Linked DNA regions of Canis lupus familiaris. The protein of the gene in region 1 interacts with the protein of each later gene in a pairwise test. Links are inferred from orthologs where the notes say so. Each region holds a gene or a part of one and is shown on either strand. Other genes may lie near its edges.

Evidence for each region.
Region 2: the proteins of GLRX3 (region 1) and PLSCR1 interact in binary tests that used the Homo sapiens proteins (3 or more experiments, as listed by UniProt). The two-hybrid records come from large-scale screens. The link is inferred for Canis lupus familiaris from reciprocal best matches to the Homo sapiens genes GLRX3 and PLSCR1.

Annotation. Positions count from the first base shown.
Region 1 is NC_049249.1:39,110,796-39,114,933, reverse strand, and holds part of GLRX3 (glutaredoxin-3), read right to left. Parts: intron 3,691-4,138; coding exon 3,518-3,690; intron 3,286-3,517; coding exon 3,224-3,285; intron 927-3,223; coding exon 869-926; intron 1-868. UniProt on the Homo sapiens protein: Together with BOLA2, acts as a cytosolic iron-sulfur (Fe-S) cluster assembly factor that facilitates [2Fe-2S] cluster insertion into a subset of cytosolic proteins.
Region 2 is NC_049244.1:42,190,382-42,194,971, reverse strand, and holds the start of PLSCR1 (phospholipid scramblase 1), read left to right. Parts: upstream 1-1,477; 5' UTR 1,478-1,656; intron 1,657-1,698; exon of another isoform or gene 1,699-1,770; intron 1,771-4,590. UniProt on the Homo sapiens protein: Catalyzes calcium-induced ATP-independent rapid bidirectional and non-specific movement of phospholipids (lipid scrambling or lipid flip-flop) between the inner and outer leaflet of the plasma membrane resulting in collapse of the phospholipid asymmetry which leads to phosphatidylserine externalization on the cell surface.

The DNA.
Region 1 (4,138 bases):
GTGACTCTGTGAAGCACCCCATCCATTCATACATGGGCCAGTGAAGCCCGGGGAGGTTACGCAGGGGGCCCAAATGCCTGCACAGCGCCAGGACAACAGGGAATGTAAACGCGAGTCTCTCTGCCCCCTCAGCCTCGCCTCTCAGGGCTGTAGCCTCTGCTCTTCCAAAACAGGCCATGCTGTCCCACCTTGCCCGCCTCCACAGCTGGATGAGAATAAAGGCAGGTAACAGAACCTGGTGTCTGGAGATCTCCGTTCCAGTCCAAATACAAATGATCATCAGTTTTGCTCAAACTGTTGGTAGGAGTGATTTATCAAACCTGCTACTCAAAATGATGCACAACCAATATGTACCATCATCCAAAAAGCTACAGGAACCATCTCATTATAAATAAGAACTGCCAAACTGTTTTACTCATTCATCAAACTCATGCTGAACACACACGATGCCATGGGGTGTATTTCTCCATCGCTGACTTCTTAAAGGATGATCTAAGGCTGTGCACCCTGAGAGCTCTGGGGCTCCCTCTACTCGGGAAGTATTGGGACCAAACTGCCCATTACACGAGCCCACGGCCTCAGTCGGATGGGGACAGGATAGCAACTAACAGAACCAGGACAGAGTGAACAGTGTTGACCAAGTTTGGCAGCAGAAAGAAATGCACCCCACTGAGATGTTGATGATAAAGTCAAGCAAAATGTAGATTACTTTGTTTGATCTCCATAAGCACCAATTAAGGCCTGGATAACTTCCTGATGCCACCACAGCTTCATTAGCCACAGCTAGGAAGAAAGATTTAAGTGTCCCCTTGTTGAAGATGTTAACATCAAAAGAAATTACAAATAAAACCATTTTTGAGTTCTTTACCTGTTTGTTTCCTTTCATAAAGAGCATCACAGAAGCTTTATTTGTCAGTACTTTGAGCCTAAAGAGAGAAAATTGATATAAAATGGCTCAGCTCAATTATTAAACACCACTTTTGCTCCGCTTCAGGAGTAACATGCATATTTGAGGGATAGCAGGATGATAGTTCACAGCTCTGAGTGGCATTAAACAAGCAAATGCATTGACATTTTCCTTTATTTCATTCTCTCCCTGAGCCACCATAAAACACAATATGGCTTTTAAGGCAACGAATGTTCCTTTGAGTTGCAATTCAAGCCCATCAACTCACAGCACTAAAAAAATAATAATAACCAACTCAATAAGGAATTGTTCAAGAAGGGGCCTGTATACAGAGCCCACCCACAACTTCCAAAACCAGATCTTGTGTGCTGCCTTCTTTACCATGAGGTCGCACACAGCTCCACACTCCCCGATATCCATGAGGTCATGCCGGGAGGGGAACTGTCAAGTGCTGGAACACCAACCAACACCAGCTATTCAAATCAATTGCTCCCATACTAACTCTGTGCTTCCCATTTTCTACAAGCCTTCAAACCCCGTGCTCTAACTTGCTGTCAGGAGCATCTGCATATAGCCTGAAGTTCAGTCACCCATCTCAGGACAGTCCCCATCGGGACACGGGCTACCCAAGACCCTCTGAGCCCCATGGTGGTCAGTCACCCCATCTTCCTCCCACTGGTGTTGTGGGTCACTCTCACAGCTCAACACCTCCTCAGAGAACAAAGTTATCACAAATGAAACCCACAACTCACGCTCACAGCTATGTCACATCCACTTTGGAGAGAGTACGCTGGGTTGATTCTCAGAAAAAGAAAAGAATATGGTGCTAATTGTCATCAGTCACCTAAAGTAACCCAACAATCTGGACCCAGAAAACCGAAACAAGTCCCTCTGTCCCACCCACAGAGACAATCGCCAGACCCAGGAACTCCAGCTCTGGCTCTATGCACTCTGGCAGCACTTTAAATGATTACACAAAACACAATGAATATATCTCTCTACAAGATCTCTCTGTAACTCTAGCCAGTTATCTTTGGTGTCTGAGGCCACAAGGAAATAGACACACCACATTAGGAAAAGAGAGATCTGATGAAGACAGAGACACAAACAACAGCAAGTGTAGTCAAGACAGAAAACTGGATTGAAAGCAGATGTAAGCACACACAAAGCCCAGCGAACTCCTGAGGCTATACAACTTCCACAAGCCACTCAGGTTATACAGCAAAGAATGCAACTGGGGGCACACCTGGGTGGCTCAGTCAGTGAGCATCCAACTCTTGGTCTCACTCAGGTCATGATCTCAGGGTCACAAAATCAAGCCCCGCATCAGGCTCTGCACTGGGTGTGGAGTGGGCTTGAGATCCTCTCCCCTCTACCCCTCCCCCAACCCTAAAAAAACACAACTGGGGACCTAGAGTCAACAAAGGTACTAGAAGCATCACTGTCCTATCAAAAAGGCAGGAAAGGATATAAATCTTTTGAGAAAATGTGGAACTTACAAGTCAGTATGACATATATGGGATACTATTTACTAATCAAGGATAAATAAATGAGCTATTTATTATTAAACACTTCAAGAGATTCTCAAAATGCTGAATGGTGATAAAATTACAAGAGGAAATTTCACCTCACAGACTCAAGCCCCAACTATGAATGGCTGATATGCTGATGTATTTCAAAATAAATTCTTTAAACCTCTACATTAATTCAAATTTATTACAATAAAAATCCCTTTAAGCCTCCCTACAGGCCAAAGTCCAAAATTTCCATAAGACAAAATCTTTAAAAGCTGATTGAGATCCTTCATAAAACAAAGACCAATTTCACAGCTCCAAAATCTCCTTGAATTCTAAGTTATCATGGTTAAAAAGACAGCGTGAAACCCTGAAGTGTTTACACATGTAACACACACATAGCCTGCACTCCTCACACTAGGCACCCCTCACACTCCGTACTCTGATGATGCCACAAACAGCGACTGCTTCTGAAACCTGAGGACCAGGACCACTGGATCCCAGCTCCGAAACACAGAGAAAGAAGTAAACTTGAGTTGTTCCACTGACACAATGACATTTCTATAAATAACGAAGAATATCCTCCACCTAATCTTTAATTTGGTGTAAAAATTTCTCCAGTGCAAATGAGACCTTCCCAAGTTTTCATGGCTAGTCTGACTGCAAACAACCTATTTATGACCTTGAGATACAAAAACAAATCCCCGACTTCTATATGGAAAAAGCAATGCAAAAACCAAGAATTATGAGATATACTTAAAGTAATAAATGGCAGACTATTTGAAACTTTGAATACACTTACCTTTCCTCTAATTTGGGAGCTTTAGGGCAAATTGTATCTAGTTCGTCGGATGCTTCCAGCTCCTGAAATAAACACATGTGTAAGTTTAAGAAAACATTCACAACAGAAATCTCCAGAATCATACAGTAATACAGAATATCAACAACCTCATCAGAAATAATTGGATCTATTCCAGGTTCATATTCATAAATACAAATATTCTTAAGGGATTTACACTCTAGATTCATTACTGCACTTAGAAAAGTGTGCTGTAAATGAAAATGCTTTACCAGATACAGACTTCTCAGTTCTAACCTTAATTATATCAAGTCCTCCTATAAGCTCTCCAGAAACGTAGAGCTGGGGATAGGTGGGCCAGTTGGAATAGGTTTTGAGGCCCTGGCGAACTTCTTCATCTGAGAAGATATCAAAACTGCTAAACTGAATATTATGTTTGTTAAGGATTTCCACCATCTGCTTGCTGAAACCTGTGTAAGAAAAAGAAAATCAAGAATTTAGCTTCTCTCTCTCATACCCATGATTTCAAATTCCTACACAGCGCACACTAGCTGCTGACCACAGGGTTTGCCTGTTTCACCCGTTAATTTGCACGCCGACACAGTATGTAAAGAGAAAAAATTGCAAGAACCCCTTATGTGACCTTGAACTATACCATGTGTTCAAGTATGGCTTAGTGTTTAACACACTTGTGAGTTTTTAAAAGTCTATGTATATTTGTCAATGCACTTCTTAATATTCAGGCATACTTTTTATCGTAGGATCAATAATGTTGGCCCAAAAACCCTGGCACCTACTCCACCCACCAGGGAGACCAAGAGCTGAGCCCTGAACTACCACCTCACCTCCCTGCACTTCCCCATCCATCAGGGGACTGACCTGGATGCCCCAGAGAGCCCCTCCCCAGTTATGCTGACT
Region 2 (4,590 bases), on another chromosome or scaffold:
TTCCATACTTTATTGACAGAAGAACAGAATGACGGGTTTTCTGTAGTGTATATACACATAAGGATATGTGCAAGGTTGATGACTGTAGCATAATTTGTAATTATAAAACAGGAAATAAACTGCACCCAGATGATTAGATCGAGACCATTCAGTATCAGAGGCAAGGGGATTTCTAAGATGCATCCTAAAGGAGAAAAGAACATGCCCCAGATAACAGTCTGCATGAAACAATCTTCTTTATGTAAAGAAACACTACGTACATGTGTGTATATATGTGTGTATATATAATGATATTTATTCAGCGCTTACTCCTTAGCAGGCATCACTCTAAACTTCTTGCATATTTTAACTTCTTCAATCCTCATAAAAATATTATGAGACGCATACTACTACTACCCTCACTTTACAGATTAAAAAAGAGGCACAGAGATAGTAATTTGCACAAAGTCACGGAGAATGAGAAGGGATTCAGATCTAAGAGGCAGGTTTCCCCCCTCCTTTTTACTTCTTTTCTCAATTTCATTTTCTATTGCTCTCCCTTCCCACCCCCTCTTCCTTCCTCCCGCCTACTTCCTCCCTTACTCTTCAAGTATCTGTTGCTAGGGTCATGGGAAGAAAAGGAGAGGAGAGCTGCCCAAGACGCCTTTCGCTTTATTTATCCATATTCAGCTTTATTGTTTGGAAGATCCTGTATTACTTTTGTAAATAAAACACTTTAAGGAAAAAAAAGAATCAATGAATCCTTCAGTTTAAGCAATATGAGTTCGTTTGTGTGTGTGTGTGTGTGTTTTTTTCCAATATGAGTTTATTGAGCCTGTTTGCCAGTGGCGGGGGTGGGGGTAGATGGCAGAAAAATTAAACACTCTAAACACATCTAGTCAGTTTGACTCTTAAAAGTTAGCAGCCTTGGGGACCCCTGGGGGGCTCAGCGGCTTAGCATGTGCCTTCAGCCCAGGGCCTGATCCTGGGGTCCCGGGATAGGGTCCCACGTTGGGGTCCCTGCAGGGAGCTTGCTTCCCCCTCTGCCTGTGTCTCTGCCTCTCTCTCTCTCTCTCTCTCTCGAATAAATAAAATCTTTTTTAAAAAAAAGTCAATGTGTAGTTCATAATAAATAAATAAATAATAAATAAATAAATAAATAAATAAATAATAAATAACTAGCTAGCTAGCTAGCGGCCTTTGGTGGAGAATGAGGGATGGGCGGAGAGAGGGAGAGACAGACACTGAGAGAGCCAGACGGACAGCGAGCCAGGACGGAGAGAGCTAAAGAGAAGAAGCCGCATGAAGAAAAGCGAGCTCGACCCCGGGCCGTTTGCACCCGCAGCGGCGCTGCAGGCTCCGGGCGGCGGAAGCTCCCGGGAGGCCCGCGCCCCCACCCCACCCCGGCGGCCCCGCCCCCTCCGTGACTCCCGGGGCCCGGCTGCCCCCGCCTCCCGGCGCCTCGCTGCCCGGGGCCCCGGAACAGACGTCAGGGCCCGCAGGGCGCAGGGGGCGCAGCGGGGCCAGCGGCGAGCGCGCGCTCGGGGCACCTGCAGGGGCGTGGACGCCGCCACCGGGAAACGAAACCGTCAGACCTCGGCGGCGCAAGGTCGCTCCGAGGTTCCGGGGCCTCGCCCTTGGCAGCATCCGGGCAGCATCCGCACGCGGCGGCCACAGGTGGGCGGGCGGCGGGCTCCCGGCCAGGCGCGCGGGGGGGGGGGGCGGGAGGGCTGTACCTGTGCGGGGCGCGCGGGCACAGGCTGGGGGCCGGGGTCCTGGCGGCGGCCACAGGTGGGCGGGCGGCGGGCTCCCCGCCAGGTGTGCGGGGGGGAAGGGGGCGGGGGCAGGGGGCGGTACCTGTGCGGGGCGCGCGGGCACAGGCTGGGGGCCGGGGTCTTGGAGCATCCGCACGCGGCGGCCACAGGTGGGCGGGCAGCGGGCTCCCAGCCAGGCGCGGGGTGGGGGGGGCTGTACCTGTGCGGGGCGCGCGGACACAGGCTGGGGGCCGGGGTCCTGGCGGCCCGGGGAGCGACCCCCGAGCAGCGACCCGCCTGCGGCACCCCCCCCGCCGGGCCCGCCCCAGGGCTCAGGTTTGCCCGCGCCCCGTGGGTGAACACCTGTCCGCGGCGCTGAGAGTCTGAGCTGCGGCTGCCGGCAGCGTGCGGGGGGTGCGGGGGGTGCGCGGGGGGTTAGAAGGGCGATTCGCAGGCCCCTCGGAGCTGTCATTTAACAGTGAGTATTCACTACTGGGAAGGCTGCCCCCCCCCCCAAACTGTGCGAGCCACCTGGAGCTCCGCGCGCGGGGGCAGGAGGGAGGCAGGTGCTTTACCGCCCACAGGGGGACCCTAGACCCGAGGCTCCCGAGTCCGTCCACCTGCCTGGGTGCACCCCCCGCCTCTGCTACTTAATTCCTGCGGACTCCGACCCGTTTCTTCATCTCTGGACCTTGCTGGCTCCATCTCTGAAATTGCGTCAAGGTCAAAAATGAGTTCCGAGAGTTAAGAGTAGGATACTTAACTAGTGTAAAAGCTGTTGTCGGAGCTGTGTCCCGCGCTGCAGAAAGTTCTCATTAGGGTTAGCTTTTGGTATTTTTTTTTTAAGATTTTATTTATTTATTCATGAGAGAGAGACAGACAGAAGCAGGCGCCCCGAAAGGAGCCCCATGCGGGTCTCGATCCCGGATCCCGGGGTCACGCCCTGAGCCGAAGGCAGACGCTCCACGCCTGAGCCACTCAGGTGTCCCGCTTTTAGTATTTTTAATAGTAAAGTCCCTGCTTCTCCGAGATTATTATCTGGCTCCCAGGTGGTTTTATTTAGACAGAGATTCCTGGAAGTGGTAAAATAGCTACTACCCAGCTCCAGGAACAGGCAGGTATTGTTTCTCCTGGTTTAGCAATTTGAGAAACAGGATTAGTACAAGTGTCACTTCCGTAGAGGAAATTGTCAAACGATTTATGATTCCCTTTATCATCCTTGAACTTTCTTAATAGCAGAACTTTCTCTTAATACCATGCTCGCGAGCAGGACAACTGCAGGGCTTTGAACACTGAATAAACGCAAGGAATGAAAATTAAGGAAAAGGGAAAATGAGTGGATTTCTGCAGCTGGATAGAAAAGGTGCATGTAAAATAAATAAGTGGCTGAATCTGAGACGAAGCAGCCTTCACATTTGTACGGGAGCTGTTCTTTATGGGAAAGGAGGGAAATAAAACCCTACACATCTTGTTCAGTCAGCAAGCACCAGTTAAGTGCCTTGTCCTGGACAAGATAGTCCATACTCTGGCCTTTGAGAACATAGAACGCAGGTAGAGAGAAACTACGTTAAAACTGTCCTACACTTCTCTATTCTTTTGTCTGATCTCTCCCCCCCCCCCCTTTTTCTTTTTCCTGTAATCCACAAACCTTTCATTTCCTTGAATTAGTCAATCTCCCTCTAGCCACAGGACTTGTGCCAGTTGCCTCTGCAATGCTTCACTTCCCCAACCCCCATCCATGGCCTAGTTGATTTTAGACAGCCTTTGGCTCTCAGATTCAAAGTAGGTCAGGGACAAAGAGTTCTGTCATTGTCTTTATTTGCTAAAATAATTCAGAACATATATCCACATCGTGGGCCTCAGAAAAATGTTAACTGATTTGTTGTTAAACAATTAAGAAGTAAACATGGATCGATGATTCAAATATAGGTTATGCCTGGTTTATAGGCATACTAGTCTTAGGAGCTATCAAAACTAGGGATGCTTCCTTTGGGCTCCAGATTGTACATTAATATTTTTCTGAAAGCAATAAGAGAAATTTCAGGACCCCCAAGAGATGGGTCAAGGATTTCACTGTAAGATGAGTTCTGGAACCATGATTGATGTCACCTGCATTATTTCTCTTCCCTGATGGAAGAGGTTTATAATTTTCAAAGAGCCCAGAGCAGCAATGGGTCTTATGGTATCTGATGGAATAATTTTACCAGAAATATACTTATATGAATATAGTATATGATGCACTAATCTCTCATTTAACTGAATTAGGAAGAAGGGTATAGGGCAGCCCGGGTGGCTCAGCAGTTTAGTGCCTTCAGCCCAGGGCGTGATCCTGGAGACTCAGGATCGAGTCCCATGTCAGGCTCCTTGCATGGAGCCTGCGTCTCCCTCTGCCTGTGTCTCTGCCTCCCTCTCTCTCTCTCTCTCTTTCTCTCTCTCATGAATAAATAAATAAAATCTTTTTTTTAAGAAAAAGAAGGGTATAGTATTCAGATTATAATTTGAATTTATACATTTGTCCTGAAGTAATTAAGATTCCAGTGGTACAATATATATGACTTCCTTAGATTTTTTTTTTCTTTTAGTACAGGATAAATATGATGTTCTTTTCCCTGGAAGTTTTTCTAGGACTTGTTTCTTATTAAAAGTCCTGGGGGCATTATTAAAAAGTTATACTAATTAATTAATTCACCCAGGACTCCGCCTTACTCATTTCCAAAACTGGGTGACATTACCTCTTGTTAATAGACCCTTAAGTTTGAGAAAATCAAAAGATCTCTGAAACAGCAAACAAGACTAGACAGGGTGACATGGTGAGTATCCTCTTTATTCTACAAGTGCTTTATTCTACTGGCACAAA